2 linked regions of the Ovis aries genome follow. Each later gene encodes a partner of the first gene's protein in a complex. Links are inferred from orthologs where the notes say so. Each region holds a gene or a part of one and is shown in the gene's direction. Other genes may lie near its edges.

What was found.
Region 2: the proteins of PEAK3 (region 1) and YWHAB are in contact, whole or in part, in a cryo-EM structure (PDB 8DP5), measured with the Homo sapiens proteins. The link is inferred for Ovis aries from reciprocal best matches to the Homo sapiens genes PEAK3 and YWHAB. Residues at the interface, in NP_940934.1 of Homo sapiens: Arg66, Thr67, Gln68, Ser69, Leu70, Pro71, Thr72, Arg73; in NP_003395.1 of Homo sapiens: Val48, Lys51, Asn52, Arg58, Lys122, Arg129, Tyr130, Gly171, Leu174, Asn175, Val178, Glu182, Ile219, Leu222, Asn226, Leu229, Trp230.

Annotation. Positions count from the first base shown.
Region 1 is NC_056058.1:19,073,351-19,077,216, forward strand, and holds the end of PEAK3 (protein PEAK3), read left to right. Parts: intron 1-1,852; coding exon 1,853-2,632; 3' UTR 2,633-3,361; downstream 3,362-3,866.
Region 2 is NC_056066.1:73,240,627-73,244,596, forward strand, and holds the start of YWHAB (14-3-3 protein beta/alpha), read left to right. Parts: upstream 1-1,165; 5' UTR 1,166-1,347; intron 1,348-3,970. UniProt on the Homo sapiens protein: Adapter protein implicated in the regulation of a large spectrum of both general and specialized signaling pathways. Binds to a large number of partners, usually by recognition of a phosphoserine or phosphothreonine motif.

The DNA of each region.
Region 1 (3,866 bases):
TGGCCATGGGCGACTTCTGAGCACTTGAAATGGGGCTGGTACTGACTGAGATGTGCTCTGAGTGCCAAATATACACCAGGTCTCAAAGATTTAGTATCAATAACAATCGTGTAAAAACATCTCACTGATATTTTTTTCATTGATGACCTGTTGAATGAGAATATTCTGGGTATGTTGGATTAAATAAAATAGATTATGAAAGTTATTTTCAAGCTCATACAACTCAATTAAAAAAAAAAGCTAATTAAAAAATTAGGCAGAAGACCTGAAGAGACATTTTTCCAAAGAAAACATACAGACAGTCAACAAGCAAATGAAAAGATGCTCAACATCACTAATCAGAGAAATATAAAGCAACACCATAAGGAGGTATCACCTCACACCTGTCAGAATGACCATCATCAAAAAGACCACAGATAACAAATGTTGGCAAGGATGTGGAGAAAAGAGAATCCTGTACACTGCTGGTGGGAATGTAAAATGATGTAGCCACTGTGGAAAACAGTTTAGAAGTTCCTCAGAAAACTAAAAATAGAACTGCATATAATCCAACAACTCTAATCCTGAAAAAAACACACTCATTAGAAAATATATATGTGCCCCCAATGTTCACAGCAACATTGTTTACAATAGCCAAGACATGGAAGCAACCTAACTGTCCATCAACAGAAGATGTGGAATAGATAAAACAATGGACAACTACTAATCTGCCATAAAAAAGAATATAATTTTGCCATTTGCAACATAGATGAACCTGGAGGGTATTATCAGTTCAGTTCAGTCGCTCAGTTGTGTCTGACTCTTTGTGACCCCATCCGTGAACTACATCATGCCAGACTTCCCTGTTCGTCACCAACTCCTGGAGCTTGCTCACACTCATATCCACCAAGTCAGTGATGCCATCCAACCATCTCATCCTCTGTCGTCTCCTTCTCCTCCTGCCTTTAATCTTTCCCAGCATCAGGGTCTTTTTCATGAGTCAGTTCTTCGAATCAGGTTGGCCAAGGTATTGGAGCTTCAGCATCAGCATCAATCCTTTCAATGAATATTCAGGATTGATTTCCTTTAGGATTGACTGGTTTGATCTTGCTGTCCAAGGGACTCTCAAGAGTCTTCTCCAATACCACAAGAGGGTATTATACTTAGTGAAACAAAAGACAAATCCTGTATGTTTTCAATTATATGTAGAATCTAAAAAATTAAACTAGTGAATATTAAAAAGAAGAGGGAGAAGAAAGAAAGTTACTTTCACCTGTTTCTTTTCACTTTTTAAAACATGGCTACTGGAAATTTTGAATTACACTGTGGTCTGTGCTCCAGCACCTTTGCTGTCATCTTCCTCCTTACCAAGTGGCAAGCACAAATGATGGACACCCTTTGGCAGGCTGGAAACTTTAACCCTTAAACACCTCCTCCCTGGTGTACTGTTAGTGTTAGTCACTCAGTCGTGTTTGACTCTTTGAAAACCCATGGACTGTAGCCCACCAGGCTCCTCTGTCCATGGGAATCTCCAGACAAGAATACTGGAGTGGGTAGCCATTCCATTCTCCAGGGAATCTTCCCTGACCCAGGTATCAAACCTGAGTCTCCCGCATTGCAGGCAGATTCTTTACCATCTGAGCTACCAGGGAGGACCCATAGCACCATCCTCCCAGGTGGTTTTCCTTAAATCATGTTGGTGAATAATATCTGAATTAACAAGAACCTTGCTTCTGGAGTGATCAGTGATAGTGGGGCAAGTTGTGGTGGGTGGGAAGGTTTCAGAACAGGTAGAGCCTCTAGGCAAGCTATGCTGGTTTTCAGGGTGGAGGGGCTCAGTGGTCAGGCTCTGAAGGCCCCCTCTGTCCCACAGGTGCCCAAGCCAGGAGCTGAGGAGCCCCACCCCTGGGGCCTGGAGCTACAGGTCTCTCTGCTCCCACATTTCAACCTCCAGGGGCTGTGTGGCCTGTTGCCCGAGGGTGCACTGCCTGAGGCGCCCTGGAGTGGCTGCGTGGCGCTGGTGGCTGAGGTGCCAGAGCTCACTGTGGCCCAGTGGCTTGTGGAGGCAGGTGCTCAGCCACCGGAGGAGTTCACGAAGACCGTGGCCCTGCTACTGCTGCAGCTGAGCGCCGCCCTAGAGCGCCTGGAGGCACAGGGCGCGGCCCTGGCCGAGCTTCGGCTGGAGAACCTACTGCTGGTGGCGCCTCGGGGCTGCATGGCCACTGGGCCCCCACGCCTGCTGCTGGCGGACTTCGGACACGTTCGCCCGCGGCCTCCCGGCACCCCTGGCATCCACGCACGGCAGCTGGGCCGCCTGTTCCGAGAGCTGCTTGGCCCGGGAGTGCCCTTGGCCACACCCGTGGCCACAGGCCTGGAGCGCCTGGCGGCCCAGCTGACCCGTGTGTGGCCGTCAGCGGCCCGGACACGCAGCGCACTGCAGGCGCTGCTCTGGGGGCCTGGACCAGAGCTGCGCAGCCACGGAGCCCCACTGGGGTCCTGGCTGCGGGTGCGCCGAACCATGCTGGTCCTGCACCTGGCTGAGCGGGCCGTGGGTGGGGAGGTACCCGGTCTGGAGGACTGGCTCTGCTGTGAATACCTGACGGAGGCCACAGCAGCCTCAGTGGACCTCGCCCTCAGTCTGCTGTGGGACTGACCCTGCCCGTGAGTGACGCACCTGTTCCAGGGCCCCTCCAAGTGGCAGGCCCCCCTCAACCTCCCAGGGCTGGAACTGGTGGCTAGTGAATCCATCATAGGGTGGATGCCCCTTTTCAGAAGGGACCAACAGGACAGCAGAGAATGCAGTTGGAAAATTAGGCCCAATCCCCCCTACTACCCCCAAGAATGCAGTTGCCCCCTTCCAGGGCTGGAACCTAATGGCCAGTGCTCGTAGACGCTTTCAGAGCAGCCCATCCGGGTGTGCAACCACTGCCAGTTCATGCCTCTCCCAGTGATTGGAACCCCTCCCACCACCTTCCAGTAGAAACCAGGTGCCCTTGCGGTACTATGGTCTCATGGTCACTGTGTCCATGGCAATGGGGACACTCCTCCCAAAGGCCCTGGAGCCTGCCCTTGCGCTGAGGCTGGTGGTGTGAACTGTCAACAACTTGTCAAGAACTGCTGGGGGCTTCCATGGGGAGAGAGGTTTCTGGAACCTGAGACAGCCAGCCCACCCCAGCAGGGTCTGAGCTCACCTGCCCACATGCTCCCCTGGTTCCCATGCCCACCCCCCAACTCCCTCCACCCACTGTGGCCTCCTTGCTCCCCTCTGTGACACTAAATTCTGTCCAGCCACCAAGTCTTTGCACTGGCTGTTTCCTCTGCCGGACTTGCTGAATCTCACCTCTTTTAAGCAAATAAAGTTGACCCTCCTGGGCCCTCTCCAGCTCCTGGCCCTGCTTCCCACCAAAGCACTTGAACCACCTGCATTTGTTTATCTCTTTGTCACCTGTTCATCTCACCCATCAGGTTGAGTTCTGAGGCCCTGCCCATACTTAACACACAGCAAGTGTTTAATAGCACAGAATGATAGAATAAACAAAGTTGTTTACAGACTCATCAGGAACCTGAGGGAGAGGATGAGGAGGAAGTCTGTTTATACCTCTGAAAAGTAGATACAGGAGCCCTGAGGGGTGTCAATGCCCTTGTCTGGGATCTCCAGTCATGCCCCTTCACCAGCCATGGCGATGCTGGGGGGAACTTTCTAACCCCCAGGTATGACTCCGTCCCTCTCCTGCTCAAACCTCCCCCATGGCTCCCTAGTACCTTCAAAACACAAGGGGTTCATCTAGAGGCTCTGCATGCTGTCCGGCCCTCTCCTGCCACATCACCTTTCTATGTAGGCGCTATCTAGCCTCCAGACCTTACCCATTATTATGCTGATATACCTC
Region 2 (3,970 bases), on another chromosome or scaffold:
GTTAGAACGGGGTTTTTCAACAATCACTTTGGCAGTTGATGGGAGCAGGTCTGAGGGAAGGACGATGCATTAGAAGTTGATCAAAACCTAAGTAAAGTTAAAGGAGAAATGACAAGGACTATTTACTTTGTTCTGTCTCCTACCAGCCTGTAAACTCCAACACAGCAGGGCCCCTTCTGCCTTGTTCTTGCTTTGTTTCCAACATCCAACATAAAGCCTGCTTAATAAGTATTTGCTGAAAGAATGAATGATGGGGGTGGGGTGGGGTGGGGGGAGTAGAGGTGAGGCATTTTGAAGAACTGCCTTGGGAAGTGCTTAATGTTGATAAAGGGTGAGAGCAGTCATGAGGAGTAGGAGGCAGAGAAGGCCTGGTTCCTTTCGTTAAACTTCCTTTAAGATCTTGAGTAGAGAGTATTCGGGAATCCCTGATAGCTCAGTTGGTAAAGAATCTGCCTGCAATACAGGAGACCCTATTCCTGGGTCAGGAAGATCCCCTGGAGAAGGGAAAGGCTACCCACTCCAGTATTCTGGCCTGGAGAATTCCATGGGCTGTATGTATAGCCTGTGGGGTCGCAAAGAGTCGGACACCACTGAGCGATCATCGGCAGTCTGATTCCCGGTTTCCTCAGTCCATAAAATGACGTACCTTGAAGGACGGAAGGGAGGACTAAAGAAAACTCTATGGATGAGCAATTGCAGTCCTTCCCTAAATCTAGTATTTCCAGAGCACGCAGCAATAGGGGGCTGACTTGCACCTCCGATCCCGTGACGACTCCTTTCGGGGAGGGGTGGGAACCAACGACCTCGGACACTGGGCCTGGCCCCGGCGAGCTCCGAGCCTAAGCCTCAGGCCCGCCAAGCCCCAAGCCTCGCCCAGTGCCCCCAGTTTCCACACAGCCCCTTTCTAGAGCCCTCTCAGCCCCGCCTGCACTCCGCCCACCTCCTTCTTCCGCTCCCCCCTCCATTTCCGTACCCCCCCGCCCAAGCCCGCCTCCTCCGTGCTCCCGGGCCAGACCCCCGCCGCGCCCCGCCCCGGCCGCGGCACCCCTGCCCTCCGCTCTCCTCCCTCCTCTTTCGGGCGGCGCCCCTCTTGGGCGGCCGGGGCGACCCCGTGCCCCGCTCGCCCAATGAAGAGGCGGCGCAGGGGCGGGGCTCGAGCCGGAGCGGAAGTGGTGACCGGAGCGGAAGTGGAGCCGCCGCAGCCGCCGATTCCGGAGCCGGGGTAGCTGCCGCCGCCGCCTCTGCAGCCGCCGCCGCCGCCGCCGGAGGAGTGGGATTGGGGAGGAAGCGGTCACTGCGCCCGGAGCTCTGCTCGCAAGGTTCTCTGCCCCCTGCAGTCCTCCCACGGTGAGTGCGGCGCGGGGTCCGCCCGAGGCCCCCAGGGGCCCGAGCCCACGGCTCCCCCATCACTGGCAGCGGCGGCGGCGGCGGCGAGGGCGACCTCCCGGGTGGGCTTCGGGGGCGGCGGCGCGCGGCCTTCTCGGCCCCGCGAGGCCGCCCGCTGCGCGGGCTCTGCCTCACCGCGGCCCCTCCCTGTTTCCGGGGCCGGGCCCGTCGTTCTGGGAGAGGCCCGGGCCACCCTCGCCGCCCGCGGCCCTGCCCGGCGGGCGGGGTGCGGCTCCCCATACCAGGCGGGAACGGACGAGGAGTCGCGGACTCCCGACTCTTCCTCACGACCCAGCCTCGATCCCCGCGCGACCTTTCCCTGCACCTTGAGCGGCCAGATCGTACCCTTTCAGCTCGGTCACCCTCGTTCCTCGCTTTCCGGTTTTCAAAAATGAAAATGTAACCAAATGCAGGCGAGCTTTCAGGCCCAATTCCTCTGTTCGTTACCCGCACCCCCCGCCCCCCGGGATGGGTAACAGGTTTAACCTTGGGAGAGAGCAAAGGGAAAACCCCCCTCCCACTTTGCAGTAAAGCCATTTCATCATCATTCGCTGGTTTGGGAGCCTGGCAGGACCCGAGATTCCCTAGGAGGCACAGGGTTGAGATTTGTATCAAGAAAATGCATTTGCTGGAACTGGTTACTGAGTCAGGCCGGATCCCCAGGAAAAAAAATAAAATGTCTGAGGCTCAGAATTGGAATATTTTCCCAACGGCATTTACCGTCATTTAATGCCAGAGTCATTGTGTCCTCGCCCCAAATTCCCCATACTGTGTGTTAACGCGACTTTAGGACTGAAATTTGCCTGGTGGCCTCCCTGGTGGTGGCGAAGGGGTGGGAGTAATTAAGACCCTTTTCTGCACAGAATGAGTGCATCTTTGTCTATTGCAAATGGAGAACTCTGCGTGTAATGGGGCTTTGAAAGGTGGCAGTATTGGTAAGACAGGTTGCCAACCTTTCTGTAAAATTTTTGTCTCTTGTCCTTGCCATCACTGCTTTTCCCTTTAGTAAGGCTAGATCGCATCAGGTTCTGATTTTACTTGCCCTGTGTGGGAGAGAGGATTTGGCAAGATTCTATTATGAACATAGAACATCAGGCGGCCACGGGAGCCAGAACAGAAAGATGAAGCACTTGGAAGAATATGAAAAATTGTCTGCATTTCTCAGTCTATCTCAATTGTTCATATGAAACCACACACACACGCAGCTTACAGAACTAGACACATGGGTACTCTGCTTTTTGCCTTTTCATGTTAGAAATTTATGTATTAATATGTGTTCTTGATTCTTGGTCATTTCCTTCTTGACTGCTTCCAGGGCACTCCATTTCTTGTTTAGGAATGTGTCAGTTGCCTGAGCCCTCATTTTTAGCACACATGGTGAGCATGAAACCTGGCATTGTGCTGGACCCAAGTTAGAATTTTCCAGGTGATCTTCATGGTGGAAAGCTAATCCAGTAGCCACTGCTGAACTGTTTCTCTGTTACCTCCTTTCAGTGAGATAAGAAACCCTTCACCTGTCTTACAGATGAAATCCTTCAGAGAAAGGAGATGATTTGGCCTAGACCACACACCTGGTTTCCAAGTTGAATATCCTCCTTCATCAGTAGCAAATATTTATGGCCTGTCAGTCCCAGGAGTGTGGCTCCTACCCTATAATCTTCTGTACATTTCCCATCAGGCAGTGCTTGTGTTAGGTTGGAGCCATTTTAGAATCAGAGCTCTATAGATTGGGGAGGCAGCCTCCAGAGAGCCAGGCTGAGCACATTCCCATAATGCTAGTTCTTGAGGCAGAGTCTCCGGAGATTTGGGCCGCTGCAAAAAGTGTATTTTGCCCGGCTGTGGGTGTGAAGCAGGAGGAGCACTGGACTCGGAGTCAGGTAAATTCGATTCCACCCTTCCTTGCAGCATTTTCTAGTTGTGGGATCTTCAGTGTTCTGCTTAATCTCTGGTTCCTGGTTTCTCTATCTCCAGGTTTGTCAAGAGACCTTTTTACAAACTGTAAACTGTTAAATATAAGCTTTTGTGTTTTAATCACAGAGTTCACTGTTAAGGGCTTTTCCCCCCTTGGTTGCATTCTGATGAGACCCAATGTTACTTTGTATACATGTTGCTTTAAAAAAAAAAAAAACTGGTATGGTATTATGGAACTGCATTGTGGACCAATTTTCTCATTGGTCAGTGCACACGGTAGTAGTCTTTGATGTATTATTGTGACAAACTCAGTAATTAAAATAAGGGTGTGAAATCTACCTGATGTTTAATAAATGTTATTTGACTATATTTGTGAGTATACATATATATAGATAAGACACATGCATATGTGCTATAATGCATAGGCACATAGAGAGTCCATCCAATGTTTATTCATCAACTGATGAGGTGGTATCAAGCTGTAATAGTAATAATAGCTGTTGTTTATATGTGCCAAGCTTTGTTCTGAGCACTCTACACGTATTAACTAAGTCTTCATAACAACCTATGACAGGTAAGTACTGCTAGCCCCGTTTTAGTTGAGGAAACTGAGGCACAGAGAAGTTAAATAATTTCCCTGGAGGCATACACACACGCAGCACTGGGTCAGTGC